Linked DNA regions of Anolis sagrei. The protein of the gene in region 2 interacts with the protein of the main gene of each other region in a pairwise test. Links are inferred from orthologs where the notes say so. Each region holds a gene or a part of one and is shown on either strand. Other genes may lie near its edges.

Evidence for each region.
Region 1: the proteins of CBY2 (region 2) and synaptonemal complex central element protein 1-like interact in binary tests that used the Homo sapiens proteins (3 or more experiments, as listed by UniProt). The two-hybrid records come from large-scale screens. The link is inferred for Anolis sagrei from reciprocal best matches to the Homo sapiens genes CBY2 and SYCE1.

The regions. Positions count from the first base shown.
Region 1 is NC_090022.1:193,714,877-193,726,248, forward strand, and holds the start of synaptonemal complex central element protein 1-like, read left to right. Parts: upstream 1-4,812; 5' UTR 4,813-4,874; coding exon 4,875-4,929; intron 4,930-5,790; coding exon 5,791-5,853; intron 5,854-7,272; coding exon 7,273-7,332; intron 7,333-8,759; coding exon 8,760-8,834; intron 8,835-10,644; coding exon 10,645-10,692; intron 10,693-11,193; coding exon 11,194-11,248; intron 11,249-11,372. UniProt on the Homo sapiens protein: Major component of the transverse central element of synaptonemal complexes (SCS), formed between homologous chromosomes during meiotic prophase. Requires SYCP1 in order to be incorporated into the central element.
Region 2 is NC_090023.1:141,534,797-141,544,824, reverse strand, and holds CBY2 (protein chibby homolog 2), read left to right. Parts: upstream 1-5,323; 5' UTR 5,324-5,369; coding exon 5,370-6,290; 3' UTR 6,291-6,379; downstream 6,380-10,028.

The DNA of each region.
Region 1 (11,372 bases), on a different chromosome or scaffold from region 2:
CTCTTGTTCCTGTTTTTAAATATTTGTCTTTCGCTGTGTGTATTGACACACTACCCCTGTGAGTACTTCTGTCACTTTACCTGTGTTAAGGTGCACTCTTCTTTTTCTTCTCTACCTGTTTCTGTATTCTTGTTTCTGATTGCTTTTTGGTTGCTTTATTTTGTTTAGAACTGGAGATGGGGAAAGACAAACAGACCCATGGTGAATTTCCTGTAGGGCTTGGTACTGACAAATAATTATCTTCCTATTCCTCCTGTCAACTCCAGATTTTTTTCTGGATGCACCAACTCCTGGAACAGCTGCTCTTCTCAGAAGGAGACTTGAAGGTCTAATTTGCAAGCAATTGACAGTTTTATCATTCCCCTTCCTGAGCAAGCACTCTCCTGCTGTGCAAATATGTGCCCTGTATAAACTTGCTGCTGCTCCACTGGGTCTGTTCTGTATCCCTGCCCTTCCTGTTTTGCTAAAAAAAAAAATGCATCATTTTTTTGTCCAGAATATAGCAGGAGGGAACATTTGTTCTTTTCCTCCTGTGAGTATGCCTACCACCTTGTGGTTTCTTATAGGATGGGAGTAGTGTGTCGTGTGGTATTTTGGGGGACTGCTGGATTTAACCCGAGAAGCTTGTATAAAGGTGCTGATTACTGTTGCCAGCTACGATGTCAGCTGAGTACTGAACTTGCCCTCATTGCTTGTGCTGCAGTGACTGAAGCAATTATGCAGTTTGCAGGGTATCTTTGTTGCTGTTGGATCCCTCCTGGTGTTGTGCTTGCTTGCTCAGCTTGCTTCTGGCTGGCATTTTCCCCGTGCCCTGATAAAAAAGAAAAGTAATGATTCTATGCATCATGTGGCTGGCTGACAATGAGGGTTGATATATCTGCCTGAACTGATATGCTGAGAACTGGAAGCATCTTATTAAATACAAACACAACCCGTTTTAAAATCAGTTTTATCTTGGAATGTGTCTCTTTTCTTTTTCCATTTGCCAGAACATTTAGCAAAGATCTCCTGCATAGCCAATCAGAACCAATTGTGTTTCACTCATTCATTTCCAGGAATCCTCAGTGGTTGGCTTGCAGTAAAAAGAGAGATGTTGTCCGATTGCTTTAGTCTGCTAATAAGAGGGGAAAATAGTCCCAAAGAAAGGTCTTTCTAAAAACATGTCACCATAAAATTGACATTCAATCTTGTTGAACAGGAGGGCATTTTTGCAGTCTCCACTTGTGTTATATTACTTGTTTGCCATTGTTGTGTGTCTTCGTATTGCTTCTTACTTATGGTGACTCAAAGGGTAAACTTATCATGGGTTTTTCTTGGTAAGATTTGTTCGGAGGAGGTTTGCCATTGCCTTCCTCTGAGAGAGTATGGTATGCGTACAGCTGGTTTCCATGCTGAGTGGGGATTCAGACTGTGTTCTTCCTGAGTCGAACACAGAAACCACTGCATCACAGAAACCACTGTAAGTACTCATACTGAATCAATCATCTGCTATTTATTTAATTGTCAGCACTCACTTAAGTGAATAAATGTTGATGTCCTACAAAAACAATTACTAGCATACCTTCTGGAGGGGGGTGTTATTAATCCACCTGTTTATACAGTCCAGTGTTACTTATCTGCTGCCTAATCAATCAGCTGCTCTAAAGCTGCACTGCCTGGCTATCTGAGTGACGTTCAGTAAAGAACGTCTTTCAGATAACCACATGAGATATTATTGACAAGTCTTGCTTGTGTTGACTCTTAGGTTGGGTCAAGTAATAACTTCTTCAACATATTTGAATGAACTTTGGTTTTTAATTTGAGACTTGTCCAATTCAAGTTGCATTCCTTGAAAACCACTGTTTATTAAAATCTGTTGAAGAAGTTATTACTTGCCCCAAGCTAAGAGTCAACACAGGCAAGACTTGTCAATAATACCGCATGTGAGCGCTCCAGCTGGAGGTCAGCTGTGACCAGCAGTACTGCAGAATTTGAAGAGGCACGAATGGAGGGCGAAAGAGAGAAATGTGCCAAAAGGGAGGCGCGTCAAGCCAATTCCAACTGGGACCGCCTTCCACCTGGAAACCAGTGCCCTCACTGTGGGAGACGATGCAAATCAAGAATAAGACTCCATAGTCACCTACGGATCCACCCTGGAGGATTATCCTACTCTGACAATGAGAGATCGCCTAAGTAAGTAAGGCTCCTTAGGTATTACTGACTTGCAACTCACATCACTCTTAGCTGGCATGGCCAGTGGTGAAGGATTGTGGGAGATGCAATATCAATACACTTGTAGACCCACAACTGCTCATTTCTGTTTAATAGGAAGATAATAATAATAATAATAATAATAATAATAATAATAATAATAATATTTTTAAAAACCCTTTATTTATTATCCACCCTATCTTCCCGGGAGGACTAAGGGTGGTTTTCAACAAAAGATGGCAAACATTCATTGAGCCAAGACATCAACTAGAGTTCTAGTGATTCTCCTCCTCCTCTGTTTTTTCCAATAATAATAATAATAATAATAATAATAATAATAGCTCCCATTTTTTACTTGTATTAGCAATAAAATAAAATATCTGCCTGCTCCAGGTTATCCTGCTACCATATTTGAGCAATGTATGTATATGCTGTAGCTCCCAAATGTATAATAAACCCTTAGCAATTTATAGATCTAGATTTTTATTGGTTTTTTACATTTCCCCCAAAACAGCATTTAATACTAGAGAAGTGTCCTGAAAATCACAAGATAAACTTTGAGATGGGGCTAGCAATGTGCAAGGATAATTTAAACACGTGGCATAAAACTGTAATTGAAGACTGAGTTTTTCATATTGATTGAATCATTGTCACAGGTTGACAATGTATGCAGAACAACCGAAACTTAGTCCTTTTGTATTTTCATATGAGCAACACAAGCAGAAGGAAAACATAAATTTTACTCTTCTGCAGCAGAATTCAAAAACCAGTAACATTAACACAAACTTGCAGTATTGCATCAATACAGTCACAGTCCCTCTGGAGTAACACACTCAAGTATAGTCCTTACACTTAACTCATGCAATTTTTCCCACAGAAAATATGTATCTTCCAATTTTCCTTTCTTGGACATGGAGACAAGCAGAAAAGATAAACTTGCCTGCATCAAATAAGCCAGGAGCGAACGCAGGGTAAGATCAGGAGCAAACATTCAGTAAGCCCAAAGTTGAATTACAAACACTTCCCAGTTATACCCCTTCGGGAGTGGCCTAAATTGGCTGACCTTAAAAATCCCATTCACCCAAGCTGTATATTGTAATTCACCAAGGTAAGTTTTTTTTTCTATTAACACACACACATACCTGGTAGTGATCTCACTAAAACCTACTTTAACAGTGAGTCTGTTAAAGGCTCCTCCCTAAACTACAAATCCCAGAATTCTGCAGGAATTCTTATTATCATGGGGGAAAGGGTCTCTAATGAAACTTTATCACCAATCCTTGTATCCACGAGCCACATTTTTCAAGATCCAACTATCACAGGGACAGAAAGTGAGGTGAAATCTTCTGAACGGGAACAGACAACAAAACAAATGTCATAAGGGTGTTAACGCTTCCCTATGCTATCCAAAGATAGAGAGATAAATAGATCCTGGATTTACACTTTAAAAACGTGCCAAGTTTACATACAAATTCAACTTAAGAACAAACCTACAGAACCTAACTTGAGGGCTACTTGTATATACTAGCTTTGGATAGCATAGGAAAGGGTGAACATCCCTGTGGTGTTCGTTTTGCTGTCTGTGCCCCTGATCAGAAGATTTCACCGCCTTTTCTGTCCCTCTCATAATTGAATTTGGCTTGTTGTGGAAACAAGGCTTGGGGATAAAGCTTCAGTGAAGGAACCTTTTCCCCGTGATAACTCTTCCTGAGGGAACGTTGGGAAGATTTCTCTCACTTCCTGTTGTCTCACCTCCATTCTTAACTAGGAGTATGCAAGTTGTATGTAAGTCAGATGTATGTAACTCAGGGATTACTTGTCTCCATGTTGAGACAATGGCTATGTATCACTGAGGGGATAAACAGGGGCCGAGCGACATGTCCTCCAGTGAATAAGTGCTGCCAAAAGCCCACGGCTCCCCTTCCTTCCTTCCTTCCTTCCTTCTTTCCTTCCTTTTTCCCTTCCTTCCTTCCTTTTTCTTTCTTTCTTTCCTTCTTTCTTAATTTCTTTCCTTCCTTTTTTCCTTCCTTCCTTTTTTCTTTCCTCCCGCCCTTCCTTTTTTCCTTCCTTTTTTCTTCCCTCTCGCCCTTCTTTTTCCTTCCTTCCTTTCCCCTCTTCCTTCTTTCCTCCCTCCCTCCCTCCCTTATTTCTTTCCTCCCTCCCTCCCTCCCTTCCTTCCTTCGTTTTTCCCCTTCCTTCCTTTCCCCCCACCTTTCTTTTTCCTTCCTTCCTTCCTTCCTTCCTTCCTTCCTTCCTTCCTTCCTTCCGTCCGTCCTTCCTTCCGTCCTTCCTTCTTTCTTTCCTTCCATCCTTCCCTTTTTCCATCCTCCCTCCCTCCCTCCCTGCCTTTCTTCCTTCCTTCCATCCATCTTTCCTTCCTTCCCTTTTTCCTCCCCCCTCTTCCTTTTTCCTTCCTTCCCTCCATCAGTCTTTCCTTCTATCCTTCCCTTTTTCCTCCCCCCTCTTCCTTTTTCCTTCCTTCCTTCCATCAGTCTTTCTTTCTTTCCTTCGATCTTTCTTTTTTTCCTTCCTTCCTTCCTTCCTTCCTTCCTTCCTTTTTCCTCCCTCCCTCCCTCCCTCCCTCCCTCCTTGGAGGAGCCCTGCCTCGGCTGCTCTCTGAAGAATGCTGAGAAGCGACAGTTGGAAAAAGGCGGGAAAACAGCAAAGAGGGTTGGGGATGGAAAATGGCTGGAGCTGAAGGAGAAAATCGTAGCATCACTATGGAGGGAAATGATCCCGGTGAGACTGTACAACTGGAGAAATACACAATAGAAACCTAAATACACATCATGGGAACTAGAGAAGGTATTCAGAACTGGTGGCCATATTCTCCTCCTTGGGCCCCGTCACCTGACCAGGAATTTAAAAGCTAGCAACTCCAATATAAGAGCTAAGACTTCACAGCCAGTAGGAATTGTGGGAGTTGAAGTCCAAAACACCTGGAGGGCCAAAGTTTGTCCATGCCTGAACTAGAAGGACATTATTCATTTTCACGAAAATTATAATTAAGAAGCAGGTGAACACATGTAGAAAGAGAGTTTCATATTTTGGGCACTGCCAAGTCGCTCCGGGGTACAGAAACAACTGTAGAAAACAGAGGCCCTGAAGGTGCCCTCAGTTGCTCGGGTCCTTGGAATTTAATAAAAGTATTATTGTTATGTTCATTCTTTACAGTGTGGTTCTCAGCCTCATAGCAATATGAAGTAGACCACAATTTCCAATATTACAGATGGATTGCACTGAGAAGGGCGAGCCCCCGGTGGCGCAGTGGGTTAAACTCCTGTGCCGGCAGGACTGAAGACCGACAGGTCGCAGGTTCGAATCCAGGGAGAGGCGGATGAGCTCCCTCTATCAGCTCCAGCTCCTCATGCGGGGACATGAGAGAAGCCTCCCACAAGGATGATAAAAACATCAAATCATCCAGGCGTCCCCTGGGCAACGTCCTTGCAGATGGCCAATTCTCTCACACCAGAAGCTACTTGCTCCTGTATAAGCAAAGTTATACAAAGCCTATACGATCCCTAGATTTCAATGTGTCTGGTTGAAGAAAAAATTGGGTGACAACAATAAATTCTGTTTCTGCTTTTTCTCTCTCTCCAGATCCCTGGGACTTTTCATCAAAAATGGAGGAGATACTGTCACTTGTGAAACAAATGCAGAATGGTATTTTGAACTTAGAAAGATGACGAGAGTAATGTTCAGGTGTCGGATCGTAAAGGAATGGGAAGAAGTGTTGTCCTTCATGCCAATCCCTTACTATCTGCACAGCCCATGTACACTTTTAACACTGGCTGAAATAAAATAACCGGCCACCACATCTGGGGGAAACAGGCAGCAGGCTAGCTTATGTGGCACACAGAGGATGCCATATGGTACAGGACTCTCTCCTAATGCATTGTGATGGCTTCTCTGCTTCAGCATCTGTCCCCCAAAACAGCCATCTCACTCTGCCATCTGCCTAATCATATAGTCCTACTAGAGCATCTGCCCTTGCCATGTATGCCTGTACACTGGTAAGAGGCAACTCATTTAGCCCAAGAGACTCATACAAACATCATGTTGCATCATTTATCTTGTGCTTCACGGACAACATACACCACTTTGTGCATGGTGAATACATATATAATGACTTGAAAATTGTTTAGAAGTCAGCAGTGGCTAATGGGTCCCATGTGGCTCTTAGAAAATTAATGTTTGGCTTCTGAACAGAGAGCAAGAAAGCACAGATTTGAGCAGAAATCAGTAGAAGGGAAAGTGGTACGTTGTTTAGGGGCTGTGGCAAAAATATAATGGAATGGAGGCTGAGGTCAGATGAAAGTTCTTGGAAGAAAAATTAGTAGTTGATCTAGGGAGAAACAAGAAGTATGGTATAAAAATTATTAGAGTTTTATTTATATTGCTTGTGATAAGGATTCTGAGTTAGATACTGGCCCTTGATAAATAACATACAATTATATGTGAGGGCAAGATCAGAGTATTTTTCTATTAGCCATTATAGTTGTCTTAGGAAGTAGGTGCTATAAGGTAAAGAGTTTCATCACAATGTTGGGAGGACAGAGCTTTAGAGTCCAGGCACTCTGTGGCTAGCACTGCTCATGCTAGCCTGGTACCTTCATGTGTGGTGAAGGATGTCATTACATTGCAAGTGCCAAAGATTTTACTGGGTTATTGTAGGTTTTTTTGGGCTATAGCCATGTTCTAGAGGCATTCCCTCCTTACGTTTCGCCTGCATCTATGGCAAGCATCCTCACTACCTCTGAGGATGCTTGCCATAGATGCAGGCAAAACGTCAGGAGAGAATGCCTCTAGAATATGGCCATGTAGCCCAAATAAACCTACAACAACCCAGTGATTCCGGCCATGAAAGCCTTAGACTATACAAAGATGTTACTATCTGTTTGATTGGCCGTTGTACCTGGAAGGAAGATGTGTGTCATTGTTCCTTTCACCTCAGTTGGCAAAGTGACTTTGACATTGAGATTGGTACAAACTGTAACTTTTAATGTATTTTAATGTATTGCTTTTTCCTTAACCATAGCATGTATAATTCAGTTTTCATTTGATTTCTACTTGATTTTATAGTCGAGAGTTTGGAGCCAAGAATTGAAGACCTAGTTAAAAGGATCAATACATTGCAGCAAGGTAAAAGAAAAAGGCAGGGATTAACTATATTATTTACATCTCAAAATTAAGCCTTTGCTAAGTAAGCTATATTTGTAGCAGTGGTTACCAGGTCTGCACATCGCGATGGCTCTTGCAGTGCAAAAGCTGAATGTTCCCAGATGTGGTTTCCAAAAAGAGAGTAATCTGCAATCCTTATGCCATTCCCCCATTTTAAAGAAAGAAGCAAAACCAACATTTTGAGGTATCTCTTCTTACTCCTGTTCCATTCCTGAATGCATAGTTTCCTCCCATCTCCTCCTACACACATATGTTATAACTCAATGAGGATCATATTTGTAATTAATATTTTTCTAGTCTCTGTTCCCTTATTCAAATTATACTGAATAGACTTTATAGTAAGGATAGATAAAGCATAGCCCTGGATGGCCCTCCTGCATGATTGTACATAATATCCCCAGTCAATTTTTTCAGATGTGGACTTCTTCAGACTTTTTCAGATTGCAACTTCTGTGGGGGAAGGAGCATTTTTGAAATGGCTGTGGCCTTCAAAGGATCTTGTAGTGGAGAAGAAATTTGGTTCCCAAATTCGCATCAGTTGCTAACTATTGTTTAAACATTTGCCTTTTCTTATCCAAGGGATAAGAACAGCCAAATTAGCACAGTGCTGCGCGTTTTGTTGCATAACATTATTTCACCCACAATTTTTTTTTAAAGCAACACCCTGTCTTCAGTATCCATGACATGAGTCCCTAAAACATGCTCAAACTGGTTGGTTTGAACAGTGTTTCTGAAAACTAAAGGTTCAGCTTTACTTAGATAAAGGCTGACCTGTCTATTCTGCAAATGTCCTACCTTGGGAACCAATATGTTTCACCCCAGAGAAGAAAGAGATTTGTAACTGGCCTTTGTATTTTCAGAAATGGAGACTGGCTCGTTGGATCTTTATTTCAGTATGCATTGCTAGGTGCAAACTGCATCTCTACCAGTGTTTAATTCAGTCTGAAGTCGTCATCTCTGGATTTCTCTTTATCTGTAAATTGCTACAATGTCTGGCTTGCTTATTTGTTTGATTTTGCATTTAAATAGTAAGTTTAAGATCTATTTTGAACATTAACATTCATAATGCTAATTCTGAGCATTTAAAAAACTGAACATTATCAGTTAACCTATCAGTGCAGTATGTAAATGTGGAATGGTGCAATGACAAGTGGAACAGCCTGGACTATGATATTGGATTATGCAATTTTAATAATTTTAAATGTTGAAATGTTTTAGTGGTTTTTTAATGTAGATGTTTTATTTGCCGGATATATGTTGTATGGCGTTGAATTGTGCCTCTATGTGCGCTTCTTTGAGTCCCCTTTGGGGTGAGAAGGGGAGATATAAATATGGCAAATAAATAAAAATAAAAATAAACCCTTTTTAAAATGTATGTATTTTTCCAGCCAAGAAGTTATTAAGTGAGGAGCTTTCCAAGGCAAATGAACATAGCAAGTCATTGCAGAGGGAACTGGAAAAATGTAGGTAATGATAATGCAACATTATGTGATGACAGTGTGTGGGATCTGTAAAATATAAGGGTCCTCTATTCTTCACATACCCTACATGCTATTATCTTGTTTTATTATAAATCTCTTTGCGTTCTTGTTCACTGGAGCTATTAGATTAATAACTCATGTGTTTTTTTGTACTCATATATTTAAGACTCTGTCTTAATTCATTTGTAACAAGGAAGTACTTGCTCTTTGTGATACAGTTTAAAACTGAACGTTTTGCTCTAGTATATACAAACATTCCTTTTCAAACGATCACTGATTTGAGAATCATTCCACTGCACTGTTTCTTGTAGCAATCAATACTTTTCCTTTAATTTTTCCTATGGGGGACTAGGTGCCGGGGCAATTTTTAAACGTGGGTCTGGTCTTTTAAGTGTTGCAGATATTTTAAGTTTTTATTGCTCAGACACCATGCTGTAGTCTGAAATCGTTATGGAAATATATGCCAGTGCTTGCTGCTGGTATCAGTTGTCATATTTCACAAGTTTTGTCCTTTTCCACCAGCAGTATTTCATAACTATGTGTTTTAGGATGTAATCCTTAAATTACCTTTAATTACTTTTTTTCCTTTTCTTCACTGAACATACAACAATCTTCTTCATGTTATTTTTGCAACACTAATGCTGGAAGTAATGTCACACTGATTGAGAATGACTGACCCAAGATCTCCCAGTGGGCTTAATGGCTCAGTGGGGATCAGAACATAGATCTCCCAAGGCTCAATCCAGTAGTAATCATGGTACCACCTGTCTGTCACCTGGAAACATGTCCCTATTTTAGTCCTGTGGTACTTACTTCTGAATTGACATATATAATTGCAGTCCTACCATGTTTGGCTCTAGGTATGTTGTCACTTTTCTTGGCCTAATGCCCCCAGTCAGCCTCAGAGCTTGTGATGTCTGACTGTTCATGAACCATGTTAAAACATGCACAGTAAAATTACATCATTATGCTAATAACTCCCAATGTGGTGCATCTTAATTATGCTCAAGAGAGATACACTATGACTTTACCAAATCAAACTACTGTGATTATTGTTGCAGTGTAGTGGTGCAGGACAGTCTTGAGATGAGATCACTCCTTCCATTTGTTGTTGTAGGAAAAAAATATTCATATTGGGCTGAACAGCTTTCCCTTGTGATACCTATTTTTCTTTTCTATCTCAAGACATACCCTCCAGCTGTCCTGATTTGGCAGGAACAGTGCTGATTATCTGTTTTCTCACATTTCCAGATGCTTTAAAAATTGATTTCTCTCTCTTTCTCCTACTTTCCTCATTTGTCCTCACTTTTCTCCATTTGCTGCAAAGTAAGCTGAAAATGAAGAAGTCATTTGTCCTTAATTAACTCAGCAGCAGGAGAGGAGAGGGCAAAATCTTGCCCTTCTCTGTAGGCTTAGGCAAAAGCAACCTGCTACAGTTTCTCCTAGCATTATGCATTCTTCTTCGTTAATAATTTTTCATATCTTGCCTCCGTTTATTTAACCAATTGTGTCCTGGTTTGCCTCAGCGAATTATTGGAAGGTATGTAGGAATGGTTCCAGAAAGGTCCCCCCCCCCACAAATATTTTGTCTTTTCAATTTCACACCTTTTATTGAGTACATTTTCATCTGTTGTTTTTTTAAAGGTCACTTTCAAAGAGCCTACATAATAACATTGCCAATAACTGTTCTTTCCAACTGTGCATAAAAGCACCACCTGGGGCCTCTTGCGCTTTCCTGCCTTGTAATATTATAAAGCTAGTAGCTGAGTGAGTTCTTCTCTTTCTCTTGTAGTAAATGCTGAAAAGTCATCCCTTGAGGAAATATGGAATGAGAAGAAAGGTAACGGCAAGACTGAGGACATTTATTTCAAAACTTCAGCAGGATCCATTTTGTACAAATCCAAAGCATAGCATTTAACCAGTACATTTTTTTTACAGCAAGTCGGTTTTCTCAGCATTGGAATTGATATAATCTGCAAATCCCAAAACATTTCCTCCAGAAAATGGATAGTTATTACTCTGCTTGTGGAATGAAATGTCGGCCTGAGTACATTCTGTTGATACCTACTGGGTCTTGCTTGTTGCATTGTTAGAGCAATGCACTTCTACCTCTCCTTAGTCCCTGTGCATCTCCTTTCCCTCTCCTTTCTTGTACATCTCCTTTGCAATTTATTTTTTAAAACTTCCTGGATGTGCTATTCTGCAACCCTTGTTTATCAACAACATCCTTGTGGTATCCCTAGTATTCCATTTCCATACTATCTATTTTTGTAAACATCTCACCCTTTAAAATCTTTAATTGTCTTTCAATATCTCTGTGCTTTTCTGATGTTCTTTCTAGAGACCCGAAAAGTTTTGCAATTTCACTGTGAAGAGACAGAAATCAAGAGGCAATGGTGAGCAATGTGGTTCATTAGGTTAAAAATAAAATATTGGAGGGTTTTTTTTTTGTCTTTGATTTGCTCATCTTACATGCCAAGTTTTAATTTTCAAGAATTCTTAAAAATGTATTATGATGAA
Region 2 (10,028 bases):
CGGGCCCATTGTACCGTCAAGCTAGGTGCAATCCATCTAGTATTTGTGCATCTGTATAATGTAGGATGGAACCACAGAAGTCAAAGTGGCATCAAACTGCTATAACGATGCAATGTGGAGAAAGTCCAGGCTAAATGCCATTTTTGGAAGAAGACAGAGGTAAAGTTATTGAGTTAAACACCTCTTAGTATTATGCCATCGTCTTCATGCTGTGTACTTAAACCAGCTTTTTCTTCTTGTTCTAAACACAGCTGGAAAATCCCTTTTAGTATTTTGACACTTCTTGCATGCCTGAGCTAACTCTGAATGCTATGTATTGCTGAAGGCTTTCATGGCTGGAATTACTGGGTTGTTGTAGGATTTTCAGGCTATATGGCCATGTTCTAGAAGCATTCTCTCCTGACATTTCGCCTGCATCTATGACAAGCATCCTCAGAGGTTGTGAGCCCGAAAATCTGAATGCTATATTTGTTTGTACATCCATTCATTTCTCCATCCAGTCTTTATCCCACCATGACATTCAGGACAGCTTACAAACATGTAAAAGTACAGAACAACCTTAAAACCCCCAAGCTAATACGAATGTTAAAACACAATTAAAACAACTTCTATAATTCAAATATTAGCTTTCTTGATTATCTCACTACAAACATTGGCCAGTTCTCTTTACTCTTCCTGTGTGTTTCTTAAACACATTTCATTTCTTTAGTGTCTCCTTTATTTTTTAAATGAATTGTTTACAATTGAAATTTTAATGTCTCACTTGAAAAAAAACTACATGAACTTTTTCGTGTTTTAACTTCACTCATATTGAAATCTTACTCATATTGAAACAGGATTTTTGAAGTCCAAAGTGCACTTCTGATTATACTGGTGGTCACTTCTATCCATCTGACCAATTATTCCCTACTGGTTGTGGCATGTCACGAGTAGTCCTTGCTTGTTTGTAACATACAGGCAGACTCAATTCTGGAAACAAGGTGCTCAAAGCATAATAAACTTTATTTAAAATAACAAGAGTTGCTAATCATACAAATGACATTGTTAGATATGAAAAATAAGTGACTGCACAATACATGTATAGGTAAAGCAATTTAAATATTCAATGGGCTTTCATCCCATGTATCAATACACAACGCTAGTTCCTTTTGCATGGGTTTTCTCCCCATTGGCTCTTAAACCAAAGTATTCCAGACACCTCTTTACCCCACTCTCTCATAAGAACAGCCTTAAAGCTGTTTTGCCAATTCTACATTGAACCACCATAAAGCAAAGGTGTCACTATCTTAGCCACCCATGCAGACAATTTCAAGATTTTGAGTAGTTTAGATTTTGAAATTCCAGATAAGGAACACTCAATTTCTACTTGTCATACTATTCTCCCAAACATAGTTTGCCCCCCCAAATTGTATATGATTTAAAGACCTGAGTAGGATTTCCAGATTGCTAGCAAAATATTTCTGCCAACTCTCTTTTGTCAACAAAACCTGTGAAGGTTTGGAGGAGAAGAAAAGATGAATACTAAACTAGCAGCCAACACAAATCTAAGTAATTTAGTGTATTGTTGAAGGCTTTCATGGCTGGGATCACTGGGTTGCTGTAGGTTTTTCAGGTTGTATGGCCATGTTCTAGAAGCATTCTCTCCTGATGTTTTGCCTGCACCTGTGGCAGGCATCCTCAGAGGTTGTGAGGTTTGTTGCTAACTAGGAACATAGGGTTTATATATCTGTGGAAGGTCCAGGGGGAGAAAGAACTTTTGTCTGTTGGAGCTAGGCGTGAATGTTTCGATTAGCCACCTTGATTAGCATTTGATGGCCTGGCAGCTTTTAGGTGTGGCTTGTTTCTGCCTGGGAAATTTCCTTGTTGAGAAGTGACCAGGTGTTCCTGATTGTTTCCTGGCTGGAGTTTCCCTGCGTTTGAGTTTTGTTTTTTATTTACTGTTATAATTTTAGAGTTTTTTAGTACTGGCTACCAGTATATAAACCCAATTTTCCAGTTTCCAACAAACCTCACAACCTCTAAGGATGAGAGAATTCTTCTAGAACATGGCCCTACAACCCCAAAAACCTACAACAACTAAGTAATTTAGTATTTTAGAACTTGTAAGAGGAGCAATCAGAATGGGAAGTTTATTAAAGTTAAAATGTTTTTACTTACTACTGATCCCATCACTCCAGATACTCGTTCTCAACTCTACAAACTCTGATCAAGTCTCCTTTTTGAAACTGGTTAGAAAACTTGTTCGGATTCTTTGTTTGTTCCCTCTAATACCAGAATAATTGTTCCATGCCTGTCATCTAGACAGTGAACCAGGCACACCACATGCCAAATAATGTTTGTACATAAGTTTAAAAGAAAAGACAAGCTTCTGCGAACAGCTTGATGAGATTCAGCATGCTCATTGCTCTCTATAAAGCACTGTTGGTGAGGGAGAAAAATAGCCCATTTGTTGGAACAGCGTATGACATCCTAGAAAGAACGGGCATTAAATGGAGCCCCTGGTGGTGCAATGGGTTAAACCCTTGCACTGGCAGGACTGCAGACCGAAAAAGGTCAGCAGTTCGAATCCAGGGAGCTGAGTGAGCTCCTGTCTGTCAGCTCCAGCTTCTTATCTTGGACATGAGAGAAATCTCCCACAGGATGGTAAAACATCCGGGTGCTCCCTGGACAATGTCCTTGCAGACAGCCAATTCTCTCACACCAGAAGCAATTTGCAGTTTCTCATGTCGCACCTGACATGATTGTTCATTCGTTCAGTTGTCTCCGACTCTTTGTGACCTCATGGACCAGCCCACGCCAGAGCTCCCTGTCGGCCGTCACCACCCCCAGCTCCTTCAAGGTCAGTCCAGTCACTTCAAGGATGCCATCCATCCATCTTGCCCTTGGTTGGCCCCTCTTCCTTTTACCTTCCACTTTCCCCAGCATAATTGTCTTCTCTAGGCTTTGCTGTCTCCTCATGATGTGGCCAAAGTACTTCAACTTTGTCTCTAGTATCCTTCCCTCCAATGAGCAATCTGGCTTTATTTCCTAGGGGATGGACTGGTTGGATCTTCTCGCGGTCCAAGGCACTCTCAGAACTTTCCTCCAACACCACAGCTCAAAAACATCTCTCTTCCTTCGCTCAGCCTTCCCTAAGGTCCAGCTCTCACATCCGTAGGTTACTACAGGGAATACCATGATAAAAATATAAACATTAATTGAAGTTCAATATTTGTTTTCTCACTTTAAATACACAGCTATTATCAAAAATATTTTAATCTGTTCGTTAGAATAAACTACATGTCTTTCACAAATTGGTTAAAAATAAGTGGAATGAATGTGAAGTTAAATATTTCAATGCTTTTTCTCTAGCAACAACTAAAATTCACAATCTTTCCGAACTGTTATTTTTATATCATGTTACTCCACTAAAGTAGGGGTTGGAAAAAAGACTTCCCAGGATCAATTGTCCCTCAAAATGACCCCACAGGAAGATTTGGGTTTGTGGAAAGTATTTTTACCATGTTTGGAGCTCCCTCTTGGAATCCCCGCAATCAAAACAAATGTTTGCCAAATATCTCCATTCTTTCCCCACGTAAAATTACCCACAATGCTCTTGAGGGGTCCAAGGAACCCCACATATTTTTCAAGAGTAAGTGGGAGGTTTAGGCTCTTGGAGACGATATGTAGACTCTAGCTTTCCACAGCTGCTTATCCCTGCACTACGCCATCTACAACAAATGTATAAAATTGGCCATTTTTTTTTTGGAAGCAACAGTTTCTAAAAACAGTTACGTTTACCAAAAAGGGAGGTTGAGAATATCAAACATTGTACTACATTATGGTTCTTTTCATTCTAAAATAATAAAATTATAAATATAATAAATTGTATATACATATAATATTTATAATATTATAATGTAATGCAATATAATAATAATAATAATAATACATTATTATTATTATTATTATATATTTATATTACATGTAATATTACTAATAATATTACGATATAGTGGTATGGTGCAATATAGCAATGTTTAATACTGATATTGTACTATGCTAATAATCTAATATATTATATGTAACATATACCTTGTAAGCCGCTCTGAGTCCCCTTCGGGGTGAGAAGGGCGACATATAAATGTCATAAATAAATAAATAAAACTTTTTTTTCAATTGGCTAGATGAGACAATTCCGTGGGAAAATATGGAATATTTGATGAAGCTTCATAATTATTATCCCTCCTACCTAAATAGAATATTTATAACAAATATCATGAATCCATTTTACAAAAGAACTTATTGTGTATAATGACTGAATGAAGGCAAGTTTTGGTGCAAAGGTGGTGAATGGAGAGGGACTGGTGCTTTTGGAAGGACATGGAAGGAGAGACAAAGGTCCCTTCCACACAGCCATATCACCCAGAATATCAAGACGGAAAATCCCACAATATCTGCTTTGAACTGGGTTTTCTGAGTCCACATTGCCATATATTCCAGCTCAAAGCAGATAATGTGGGATTTTATTCAGCTGTGTGGAATGGGCCAAAGTAATGTAGCTGAAAAGGGATTTAAAATCTGGTAACAGAGGGCGAGGAAGTCAATAGTTGGGAAAGGGGTTTAAGATCTGTCTGAGGCTTTGTGGTGAAAGATGAGAAAGGGAATGACAGGCGATCCATAGAATGCGTTTTGCAGTTTTTCTACTTCTGCAGGAGTTTTGAGCTCTGTCAATGTGAGTAGAGACTACTTATACAACATTTAGCCAACTTAATTGTTTTGTTCCCATGTGCATACTGTTTTTCAGGGAAAAACCATATTGAACTGTTCCTTAGTTGTGGTGTAAGAACCTATACCTATTATTTCCTTCTTATTTCTTCCTCTGGTGCACATTTTCCGTTAAAGAAGTAAAGCTCAGAAACACATCTACCTTGTTAACTGATTTCAAATAGTTAACCTGTTTGAAATAATCTGTTTTCAAATAGCACTTTATTATAGCATTTATCTAGAACTGCGGCAGGCATTATTTAACAAAGCAGTTTAGTGAAGGCAATTCTTAGGGAAGCTGGCTTGGCTTTAAACAAATTATTGGCTTTAAAATGTTTCATTTTCCAAAAGAAGAAAAAAGAACTACAAACATTGACTCGAGAATGTCTTAATCTCATGTGATTTCATTTAATTTCATTTTGTAGCCTTTATAACAGACTTAATGTTTTTCATGGTTCATTATTTTAATTGTACCGATTTCAGAGTGCTTGATTATAACTAATGCATATTGCTGATAAACTATCAAATAATATAATTTAATGTGTATTTCTTCACTTTCATGCAATAATCCAGGTCTTCGGACTTTCTTTTGAACCAATATATGCACCTAGTGGAAGGTAAAGATGGACTGCATCCCGCCGAAGGTCAAACTCAGTGATGACACCTTTGTCTTTCTAGATGGCAAGTGGGTGAATGAATCGTTTGTTCAACCAGCAATTTCCTCTTCAGCAGAAGCCCACAAGAAACACTATAGCAAGAAGATGCACAGTGACTTGACCCTCTGGGAAGAAAACAAAGCCCTCTGGGAAGAAAACAAGGCCCTCCGAGTGGAAAACAGGGCACTTCGGGAAGAGAATAAAGTACTCCAGTGTCTAAGGACACAGAACAAAGGTATTCAGGTTATCTATGATGAGAGTCTTCAACAAATGCTCCAACAGGAAAATAAGCCTTTAGTAGCTCTTTCACGCAAAGGAGGACTCCAGGGGGGTAAGGAAAACAAAGCCCTTCAATTTATCCAAGAAGAGAAAAAAGCTCTTCAAATCTTTCGGGATAAGATTTTGGCTTTGAAGGTTTTTCCTGAGGAGGAGAAGAAACTCACCCCAGTCCTTCAGAAGGAAAAGCAATCTGACCTCTTATTGGGAAAGGAACCCCTTGAGCAGGAAACAAACAATACCTCTGCATCAGCTGAGCCTGCTACAGCTGAACCAGAAACACAAGAAGACAGCAGTGCCACCTCAGAAAAAGAAAGGCAACAAACTGCCTTATCACTGTTAGAAGAAAACGAAGTACTTGAAACTGTTCAGAAACTGAACCAAATGGTATTGTTTCTCATAAAAGAGAACCACACACTTCTGGAAGATAAGCAGGCACTCCAGAATAATGAAGGAGGGAACAAAATACTTTGGGAGGAGAACAATAAACTTAAGCTCCAACAAAAGACCACCAAAGATGCTATCAGTAATATTATCGCTCAGATGGGCTTGCTGCAAGAGACGCTTAACGCCTTTGATTTAATTGAGAGTCAGTCAGAGAATACTGAATGAAGAAGCCTGTTAGTTGAACAGCTACAGGGAGATCGGATAGGTTGAATAGAAGTCCATCTACTTTCAGGAAATTATCTCCCTCCTGTGATGTAAGAGCTAATAAAGTTCTGTTGTTGATTCAAAAAGCAGTAATGACGTTTTGAATTATTAGACCTTCCTTCCAATGCCATTGGCTCACTGATAAACCAGGGCCCCAGATCAGCCCCACTCCATGGACCCTCAGGGGCAACCAAGTCCATCACCCTGATCATTTCTTTATTCTGGAGGGCAGCCAGGGCTTTGACAGGATCACCAGCAGCAAGGAATAGCCACAAGAACATCTCAGAAGGAAAGATTGATGTGATGCAGTGGTATGGGCTTTGGACTATGACTTTAGAGACAGAGTCTCAGCATGGAAACCTTTGGACAACCCTGTGACAGGTTAACATTAGGGTCACCATAAGTTGAAAACAAATTAGGGTTCTTCTACACATAAAACCCAGAAAAGTAACTGGGTTAAAAGGGATTGTTTAGCCAAAGTGCAGGCTAAAATGGGTTAACAGTTGGAAAGCACATGTTAAAAAGATTCGCTTAAAATCTGATTCCGTCTCCAAAATGTGCACTGTCTCATAACTATATATACATGTAGTCATACAAAACATTTGCTTCCCTTCCCTCCCCCCTGTGTGGACTCCTACAGCGCACATGTGCTTTTTAAAAGCCTGAAATACCCGATCAGCTGGCCATGGATACACAGGTGGCTCAAGGGAAGCACAAGTGGAAAGCAATGAGAACTCTCTGAAACTCTTTCTTTTAAACTTTATAATATTAAACAGAGCATGTACACATATGAGTTTTTACTCCATTTGATGCTTGTTTACTCCATTTGATGCTTGTTTAGAAATATAATAAACAAGGCACGATGATGTTTTCTAATTTAGAGTGAATAGAAAGTTATTTTTGCCCCTGCAGAGATGGGAAAGTATGCATGAAAAAGTGTAAATTTGTCACTGACAGATTAGGAAAAGGGTAGGTATTTGGATCTGGAAAAGTGTGCAGTCAACATCTTCAACTAAAAGGGAACAATTGAAGAAGAATATTAATTACTGATAAAAAAATAGCAAAACCAGAGGGAATATTGGGAGGGAGAATTGAGAAGCACTGCAGCATGAAATATGATGATATGCTATGGTACTATAGGAATATAAAAGTAAACACTGGAATAAAATATTGCATATGGATGATTTTGAGCAATAATGCTTTTTCTGTCTCAGGAGAAAGAAAAGGCAACCCCACTCTAAACAAATCTTGGCAAGAAACCGCCATGATAGCTTTTCCATAAAGTTGGAAGTGACTTAACGGCACACAGCAGCAAAAAATATACTTTAGAACACTGTAGAAACAGATGTTGAAATGTAACCTGCCTGTGTTTTTTCTTTCAGAATGGAAGCATGAGAATAGAGACTAACTTGACATTATTCATCTAAGCTGCTCAAATCACTTTTGTGACTGAAGAATTTTGCATCAATATAGTAAGCCCTAGGCATTTATATGAAAGGTCTGGCCCTTAACTTCACACTGAGAAAACTAAAGTGCTTTACTAGCAAGCACCAACCAATCCCTTTGCAATGCAAGAAATAAAGTGTAACAGTGTAATGCTAGAAAATGTTGCCCATATTGACTACCAATAATAAGAACAACTCGGGGCGGCTAACATGAGGCCAACCCAACAATTACAACAAAGCAAAAATAAAGCAATATACAATAATACATCAAATAAAATATAATAAAATATAGCAAAAGAAAAAACAATAATATAAGATAAACACAGGATATGACATAAAATGGAGCCCCCGGTGGCGCAGTGGGTTAAAGCACTGAGCTGCTGAGCTTGTTGATTGAAAGGTCGCAGGTTCGATTCCGGGGAGCGGCGTGAGCTTCCGCTGTCAGCCCTAGCTTCTGCCAACCTAGCAGTTCGAAAACATGCAAATGTGAGTAGATTAATAGGTACCGCTCCGGCGGGAAGGTAACGGCGCTCCATGCAGTCATGCCGGCCACATGACCTTGGAGGTGTCTACGGACAACGCTGGCTCTTCGGCTTTGAAATGGAGATGAGCACCACACCCCAGAGTCAGACATGACTGGACTTAATGTCAGGGGACTACCTCTACCTTTACCTATGACATAAAATAACAAAAATTGAACAGAGTGGGCAGGGCCAATTGTAAAGGATAAAAATTTAAAACCCTGGATTAGATAGATAGGGAAGTGTATCTGGTGGGAGGTTCAGATGGAACAACAATGGGGTTTAATTTCACTGAAGGGTGAGATAAAGTCTGTTGAAAGGCATTTTGTGCTGAATTGGTCAAGGTATGGGCATTTATTGTTCATTCCTCAAAGGCAGCCAACTCTCCACAAAGGGCAGCCAGCCCTCCACAAAAGTTGGTATCAACGGCCAAATACAACACCTTCTGAGCTCTGTGAGTGCAGCATGTTTTTGAATGAAGCAGAGAGTGTTTGAGGATTGGGGCATTAATAAAGATACCAAGATGCTTGTTTATAAAGCTGTTATCCTTCCAATGCTGTTGTATGCCTGCGAAACAAGGACCATCTACAAATGTCAATCTCAACTTCTGGAAAGATTCCATCACCAAAAAATCCTGCAAATCTCTTGGGAAGACAGGCGGACAAATGTCAGTGTTTCGGAAGAAGCGAACACCTCCAGCATCAGGTCGTTGTAGGCTTTTCAGGCTATATGGCCACGTTCTAGAAGTATTCTCTCCTGACGTTTTGCCTGCACCTATGGCAAGGCATCCTCAGAGGTTGTGAGGTCTGTTGGAACTAGGAAATTTGGGTTTATATATCTGTGGATATATAGACATATATACCCAAGATATATAAACACAAATTTCCTAGTTCCAACAGACCTCACAACCTCTGAGAATGCTTGCCATAGATGGATATAAAATTGTTTTTTATATGAATTTTATTATGTGATTTAACCTGTTTTAAACAATGTATTTATGTGTGTTCGGTATCTAATTGTTGCCAGTCTGTACGCTGCCCTGAGTCGCCATTGGGCTGAAAAGGGCGGGATAAAAGTGTGGTGGTAAATAAATGCAGATGAAACGCCAGGCGAGAATACTTCTAGAATATGAACATATAGCCTGAAAAACCTACAACAACCCAGTGATTCCAGCCATGGAAACCTTCGACAATACACAGAGAAGAGGGAGCAAGCTTGTTTTCTGCTTCCTTGGAGACTAGGACACAGAACAATGGCTTCAAACTACAAGAAAGGAGATTCCACCTGAACATTAGGAAGAACTTCCTGACTGCGAGAGCTGTTCAGCAGTGGAACTCTCTGCCCTGGAGTGTGGTGGAGGCTCCTTCTCTGGAAGCTTTTAAACAGAGGCTGGATGGCCATCTGTGGGGGGTGCTTTGAATGCAATATTCCTGCTTCTAGGCAGGGGGTTGGACTGGATGGCCCATGAGGTCTCTTCCAACTCTATGATTCTATACCACCAGCATCAAGACACAACTAAAGTGCCAACTTGATATAGGCCCATTTCAGCCTACTCGAGGCCAAAGGGTTGCAGGGCTGTGTGGAAGGGCCTTGGTTTACCTGAGTCCACACTGCCATATACTGTAATCCAGTTCAAAGCAGATAATGCGGGATTTTATACAGCTGTGTGGAAGGGGCCTCAGTCAAGGCGTAGATCTGAATGGCAATCCTCGGAGGCCCCCCGCCAAGTACAA